2 linked regions of the Lonchura striata genome follow. The protein of the gene in region 2 purifies or fractionates together with the protein of the main gene of each other region. This does not show direct contact. Links are inferred from orthologs where the notes say so. Each region holds a gene or a part of one and is shown on either strand. Other genes may lie near its edges.

Evidence for each region. Proteins that work in one complex are often made in the same cells at the same time.
Region 1: the proteins of CCNF (region 2) and RBX1 purify together in Homo sapiens (affinity purification with western blotting, with the first as the bait; 4 studies listed by BioGRID). This does not show direct contact. The link is inferred for Lonchura striata from reciprocal best matches to the Homo sapiens genes CCNF and RBX1.

Annotation. Positions count from the first base shown.
Region 1 is NC_134607.1:24,899,661-24,903,405, forward strand, and holds the start of RBX1 (E3 ubiquitin-protein ligase RBX1), read left to right. Parts: upstream 1-1,317; 5' UTR 1,318-1,373; coding exon 1,374-1,451; intron 1,452-3,717; coding exon 3,718-3,745. UniProt on the Homo sapiens protein: E3 ubiquitin ligase component of multiple cullin-RING-based E3 ubiquitin-protein ligase (CRLs) complexes which mediate the ubiquitination and subsequent proteasomal degradation of target proteins, including proteins involved in cell cycle progression, signal transduction, transcription and transcription-coupled nucleotide excision repair.
Region 2 is NC_134618.1:2,548,677-2,552,421, forward strand, and holds the start of CCNF (cyclin-F), read left to right. Parts: upstream 1-922; 5' UTR 923-975; coding exon 976-988; intron 989-2,411; coding exon 2,412-2,566; intron 2,567-2,982; coding exon 2,983-3,089; intron 3,090-3,745. UniProt on the Homo sapiens protein: Substrate recognition component of a SCF (SKP1-CUL1-F-box protein) E3 ubiquitin-protein ligase complex which mediates the ubiquitination and subsequent proteasomal degradation of target proteins.

The DNA of each region.
Region 1 (3,745 bases), on a different chromosome or scaffold from region 2:
GAAATCTGAATTTGTGCAGCTGCAATTTATAGTGATAGAGATGCCCCATAACCAAGCAGTATCTGGGGAAAGGGGCAGTTCAGTGAAATGGAAGCTTACCATGTAGGTAATGAGAGGCATTAAAGGGTGTTTACATGAGGGAGGGCATTTTTCTTCTTCAAACTTACCTTTATTGCCTATGCAACTTTCAGGCTCAGCCTGATGCTGCAAATATTTAGGTATGTGCATAAGTCAAGGCACAAGTGGTACATGTCTTTTAAATATTAATCCAAATCCAAACATTAAAATAATTCAAACACATCCAATGCCAGCATCATCTCGTTCTTACTGTAGGTCCCTACTTTAAGTTTAAGTCTATTTGGAGACTGTCAGACACTCCACCCCAGCAAGGACTGGGTTTCAGGAAAAAGCTGTATGCACACAGCAAGACGGGTAGAATGGAGGCAAACCAGAACGGTGCTGTTGGGCCCAAGTATTTATGAGAAGTAGAGTACAGATATTGCTTGCCTGTATCTATGCAAGAGAATGGCCTTTTAGTGCTTCTACAAACTCCTCTTTCCAACATCCATGGACCAGCAGTGTACAAATAGATTTAGAAGGGGTGGCTCTGCAGAGAGATCGCGTCTACAGGGACCTGCAAAGCTGGGTGAAATTTCAAGATCTATAGTTGTCCTGCTGGGGAGTGTATTGCCCTCAGTTTCCATATCATGGAGAATACTACCACTGACCTTGTCGGGAAGGTACAGACAGAGGAAGCTCCAAGAATCGGCCACCGTGCCTGTCATCTCCTCTCCATCCTTGCAAAAGAACAGGCAAGGCCTGGGCAACTCTGGCAGCACCTTTAAATCCATATTGATTGTAACTATTGTAAACTCAAATCGCACGCTGTAAGGTGCGCGTCCTGTCTTCAGCAATTCCATGTTCCTTTTTAAAAAACTGGACTTGCGGGAGAATAAAGGGCTACAGCGGCAACACCGCCGACCCCACTTCGTCCTGCCTCGATTACGATGGGCGAAAACAAGTTAGAAGTCTACTGAGGGCTGAAGCCCCTCATGTGAAGAGGGCGGGGGGGCAAATCCCAAGAGACTGTAGGGGGACGCTGCACCGAGAGCCCGAGGGCTGCGGGCAGAGGGATGAGGTAACTTTGGCGCGGCCCCGCCCTTCCCACCGCCCTCAGGAGCGCGCTCACGTGATCGCGCCCACGTGATCGCGCCCTCGGCCCCCGCACCTGCCGGCGCGGTGAGGGGCGGTGGGGGGCGTGGCCATGCGGTGACCCCTCCCAGCGCCCCCGCTCCTCCGGCCCCCCGGCCCCGCCACGCCCCGCCGCGCCGCGCACGCGCGCAGAGCGGGACGGGCCGATTCACGCTCCCAAAATGGCGGCCGCAATGGATGTGGACACTCCCAGCGGAACCAACAGCGGCGCCGGCAAGAAGCGCTTCGAAGTGAAGAAAGTGAGGCCCCGCCGGCGCGCTCCTCTGGCTGCTCCCGGAGGAACGGGGGTGGGGCTGGGGCCGGCTTGATGCCAGAGAGCGGGACGGAGAAGGGAGCGAATTCCCGCTCCCTTTACGGAGCCGGGCGCCTGGTTCCGCACCGGAGCGGTGGGAGGGGCGGCGCGAGGCCTGCGGGGAGTCCTGGCGTGCGTCCTAGCCAATGGCTGAGGCGGGCCGCCGCACGTGCAGCGGGAGCTGGCCAATCAGCGGGCGCCGCTGGTGGGGGCGGGAGCAGGGGCGCCGACGGGCCGGGGGCGGCCCTGTCCGGGGCTCTGCCGCTCGCCTCCTCTGACGCTGCCGCCCCGACAGGACAGGCCTCGGCTACTCCTTACCCAGAGCTCGGGCGGGCGAGCAGCGCTGGAGTGCTTCCAGCTCCCCATCACCCCCGGCCGCTGTGGCGTGGCCCAGCCGCCCGGGCTGCCCCATATGCTGCGTAAAAAGCTTTCTGCAAATGTCTGTGGCTGACTTTTTCCTCCTTCTTACATAAATCGAGCCATAACAACGTATTAGTGAGCAAATGTTCTCATGCCACCCTGGCTTTGCTTCCTCGCTCAGAGCAGTCATAATATTGCTCTCCTATCCAGTGCCACCAGTTTGTCAGCTGGGTCATGGTGATGGTCTGAGGCTATTCACGTGGGTGTAGAGAAGCAGGATTAGATTGTGTGGGCTTGTACTAAGGTACAATTTGAGGAAAAGTGTCTCCTAGACTGAATATCAGTAAACATTTCCAGTGATTCCTGCTTGTAGATATATTTGTTTAAAATGCAGCTGCCATCAGTGATGATGGAAACCCCTGGATATGTGCAGAAGGAAGTGTTTGGGTGACATAATTGCTTGTCCTTTGGAAATAGGGACAAATATAATCAGAGTGGTAGGAAGTAGCAGCATTTATATGTCAGTGTCATTCCTGCTCCCCAGCAAGGTATCAAGACCTTTGTTGCATGTGTGGCTCAGTACAGGTGTGTGGGCCATCAGAGTAGACCATAATGGGACAAGAGATTAAGTATTGGAGTGTATGGAAGAGATAAGGGTGCTGAGAACTTTTATCTTAGCTGCTTGAAGTATGGATGAAGTCCATGAGGACTGAATACTTCAGCCAGAAGGCCAGCTAGTCTTGAAGTTAGAAGACTGGGAAGAAACATGTGATCACTACTGGTGCATGTCCTAAAAGATCTAGTAGTATTGTGACTACTTTTTATATCTGTACTAATGAAAAGTTGAAGAGCTTACCCAAGTGTGAAACTGCCTATCAATACTTGGAACTCAGTGTTCCTTCTTTAATGTCCCAAACTGAGGGAAAGCAATGAAAACATTGAGATGGAAATGGAACACAGTAGAGAAGATAGTACAGTCAGTGCAAATATATACTGAAAAAATGTAAGGGGGACAAAAATCTATACTACGTAAGTCGTAAATGAAGATTATCCTGATACCAGTACAATATTTTGGATTGTTTTGGATATTGAAGGCAGGCCCATTTATTTAATGAGTTTACAGAAGACCTGATTATGAGTTTTGTCTGGAGGCATAAAAAGGTTTTTCTGCATAGCTTGTCCTAAAATTCTCAAACCCCCTGAAGTAGCATGTGACAGTGCTATTACTTTTTTGTATGTATAAAGTAAGTCTTCGAAAGATTGATTTGATAGTACTTTGAAATTTTTATATCCAGCCTTGCCGATAGGTTGTTGCTTATTAACCTTTTGTAGGGAACATTATTCAGGAGTCAGTGGAGAGTAGCATTAGAGATTTAGTTCTTGACCCCAACTGCTCAGAAGGATGATTACTAGAAGAACTGCCACAAATAATAGGAATTCCTCTTAACAAAAATTACATCTGAATTGGTCTTTCTCCAAGGGGCTGTCCTTTCTTTCAGAATCTAGGGTTTGACATGAACTACTTCCTTGGATTCCATTGGATCTTGAATAGAAATCCAGATGTTTGCATTTGTTTCACAGAAAAAAAAAAGTGGAAGGGGGACTGTGGGAGTTACCTTCTTTTTCAGGTGGGAAGGAGACGTATCTGGGAGGTTTGTGAGAGGAATGTACCACTGCTTCCTAGTAACCTAAACTCTTGATGAGGAATTGTTCTGGACTTCTAAGATTTGTTTTTTCCTTAATATCCTAGCTTTTCTATTTCAAAAAGTACCTGGTATCTTGAAGAATAGCAAGGATTGCTGTCCAGCGTAAATTGAATCACAACTGTTTTTCTTTTTCCCCCCTCTCTCCAGTGGAACGCCGTAGCTCTGTGGGCATGGG
Region 2 (3,745 bases):
TCACTCCAGGATCTTCATGTCCATCCTGTCCTGAGGAGCCCAGAACTGGACACAGCATTCCAGATGAGCCTCAGCAGGGCTGAAGAGGTGGGCAGGACCCCATCCCGGACCTGCTGGCAGTGCCCTTCCCAGCCCGGGATCCCCCACCTTGGCCCCAGGACACAAGGCTGGTCAGGGACAGTTGTGACCCCCAGAGCCTTCTCTGCAGAGCTGCTGTCCGGCAGGTTACCCCAGGCCGGCCTGGGACACGCAACCACCTCCGCGATGCTTTAGCTCCAGCACGGACACCCTCAGGCGCTGCATGTTCAAGGTGGAAATCATTAGGCAGTAATAAGCCCCCACTGCTCCCCTCAACAGCTCCCTTGGCGAGGCAGCCTCGGCTAAGTGTAGGTGACTGTGAGCGACAAAGCACCAGCAGGGACGGCTGAGAGAGAAGAGACTCCTGGTCCCCGGGGGGAGCCGGGGCCGCCGCCGTGCCCCACAGCCGCCGCCGGCCCGGCGTAACGAGACTGCGGGAGCGCAGCGGCAGCCCCGTGAGGGAAGCGCCGCGGCCCCGCCCCACTGCACCGCCCCGCACGACAGGGGGCGCCGTGCCGCCCGCGCATGCGCTGCTGCGCCACAGGTTTGAACCGCCAACTGCCCCGATTCGAATTCGCATCCTCGCCGACCAATCACAGCGCGCGGGGCGGGAACGGCCCCGCCCCCATCGGCCTCCTGGCCAATGAGAGAGGCTGCTGTGTTTAAAACAAGTGCGCGCGGGCGGTGGGCGGGGTGGTGGCGCGGCGGGCGGGCCTGGCGGGCGGGGCTCCCGCCGCTCCCGGCGCCCACTGGGCGCGCCCGCGCCGCGAGCGGGGCGTGCCAGCCCCGCGGGCCCCGCCCGCCCGCGGCTCTCCGGTCCCTCCTACGCCCGGGCCGCTCTCTCCGAGCCGGGCAGGGCGCTGTGTCCGTCCGCGCGGTCCCCGCGGACACGCCACGATGAAGGCGGGCGGTGAGTGCGGCTCTGCCCGCGGCCTCCGCGGGTGCTGCTGTTTCCCGGGCCTTCCTGCGCTGAGGGGCGGCTCCAGAGCGGGTTCTGCCTGCCGGGCGCCTCCTGAGGGATCTGAGGGCGGGGGTTACCGGAATACTCCGAGCCTGGGCTAAAGGACCGGCAGTGGGCTTTGGAGCCGGGCCAACGGCTTCGCGCCCAAATTCAAACGCGGCGGGGGCGGCCCGGCCCGGTCCGGCCCGGCCCGGCCCGGCCCGGTGGGTGCTCGGGACCGGCTCTGCCCGTGCGGTGCTCCCCGCCGGGGCCGTGCCTCAGCCCTTCCGCGACCACGGCGTCCGTGGCTGTGCCTGGCGGCTGTGCCTAAGCGCGCCTGCCCTCAAAGCCAAGGGGTCAAGATGTGTATTGCGCGTGGGATAACATCTCGGGCGTCTGTGAGTTTGCAGCGTGCGCAGGACTGTGCAGGAAGCCCCATTCAAGAGGCAGAGAAAGTGTTTTTTTACTGTAAGAATGCCTGAACTATGGTAATTGATTGGCCAGAGCAATTGTGGGATCCACATCCTTGGAGTTGCTCAAACCTACCTGGATGTGGTCCTGCCCCACTTGGCGGGACAGCTGAACTGGGTGACACCCAGAGTTCTCTCTTGCAGCCTAAACCGCTCTGGTTTCGTGAAGCAACATATTTGAAATCAACCTGTGCCACATACTGTCTATAGAAATGGAGTTTTCACTGAGTTGCTCATCTACACCCTGGTCCCTATTTGGATGCTCATATAGGCTGAACTGGCATCCCAGTTTGGGTGTCTATTTCATTTTCATGGCAATAATACTGCTGAGGATAGTACATTTTGTATACATATATATGTGTGTTTGTGTGTATTTCTATAAATATTGCACTGAAATAATATTCCAGAAGATATAGGCAATGGGTCTTCCATTAGCACCCCTGGTAGCAACTGCTTGGAAAGATAGGCTTGAGTAGGTTTGGTTGTCTTCCTAATATCTCTGGTTGTGTTCCAGAGACTGCTGTCAGTTGAGAAGGAAAAGTTGGGGCATGGGGGAGGTAAATGCATTGACAGTAGTGTCAGCTAAACTATTTGTTACTACTGAACAGGGACAGCTGAACTGTTTGCTGCTACTAAACACGGTCACAGGAGTCAGGGCTCAGAGGGGCTCTTGGTGAAGAGCACTTGAGCTTGAGCCACCCCTTCTGAGTCTCTTGGCTTCATTAACCAATTTGAACAAGCCCTTTCTGCTCTGTGGCATAATGAGGTATGAGGTATATATCCCTGGTTAATGTGTTTGCAGTGTCCTGCACTGCAGTGAAGAGGTGCTCAAGTGAACACCTGTGTATATATGTAATACTATGTAGTACCTTTTTGCCTTTATGCTCTCACTAACTGAGGTGTCCTGTGTTTCTCTTTTCCAGTGGTTCACTGTAGATGTTCCAGATGTTTTTCTTTCCCTTCAAAGAGAAGGGTAATAAAACGGCCTCGAGTCCTGACATTCTTGAACCTCCCCGAGGATGTTCTGTTTCACATCCTGAAGGGCCTCCCTGCTGCAGACATCCTCTCAGTCAGAGCTGTAAGTGCTGCAGCTTCCCCTCTGCCAGGCTCAGTGCTCAGCTCTGCCTCCAGGAGCCTGGACTGCACACAGAACAGGCTTCTCATGTCACAGAGCCTGAAGAAACCCAAAGAGTGCCTGCAAGGTTGAGATTTTTGCTGTCCCAGGGACTTTCATTTCTCACTGCTCAAGTTAAGAGTAGCAGCAGTATTTGACTGCTTTTTGTTCCTTTTCTGTGGTAATTGTCCTGCCAGATTACTGTGGCTGAACAAATGGGTTTGGTTTGGCATCTCTTGCCTTACTGGTTATGAGGCAGGCAACAAGTTAAACATAACTTGTGACGAATTAGTTACTTCTCTAAAATAAGATTGCAAAGACCTGTTTTTCTGTTGTTCCTTTTATTTTGTTAATCATTATTTTGTGTTCCCTCCCTGCAGGTGCACTCACATCTTAAATACCTTGTGGATAATCATTCCAGTGTTTGGGCACATGCAAGTTTCCAAGACCTGTGGCCATCTCCAAACCATCTGAGGATGTTTGAAAGGTAAGTGTCAAACATCAAATTTGTCTGGCCTTTTAGAAGAGGACGTTTGAAGGAAGATTAACTGTTCTAATCAGTCCTCAGTGTAATTGGGGGATCTGAGTTGTACAAAGAGGGGAAATATTTGCTTTGGAAATGAAAAAACATGTGATTTGAGATCTAAGCTACAGCTGATCACTGCTGTCTCTTTAACCAGAGCAGGGCCTATTGCATATACCAAAGTTGTCTTCACAGGCATTAATATTCCAGATTGGAATGTAACACATTCCTTAAAACCACTTTCTGGTGCTCCCATGTGAATGAACGTGTGGGGTCAGGGGTTCTAGAAAATAATCCTGTTTCTAAGTCTAAGTTGGCTTGGTCACTTCTTGTGCAAACCAGTGTATTGAAAAACAAGTGAATTTCAGTAACAAAGTTTGAAACAGCAACAATAAATCTGCTTTAAAAATATGAGGAACATCTTTTTATCCATCTGTTTTGAAGGGGATCCATTGGTGTCAGAGATTTCTTTAACATGTTTAAATGCCATGATAATGGTTTTGCTTCTGAGTGTCACTTCTTTTTGAGGCAGACCAGTATGTGCACAACAGCTGGGGAGGGAGGAATACAAGGGCTTGATGTTTTGATGGATGTCCTTGAGGGCACAAGGACCAAACTGG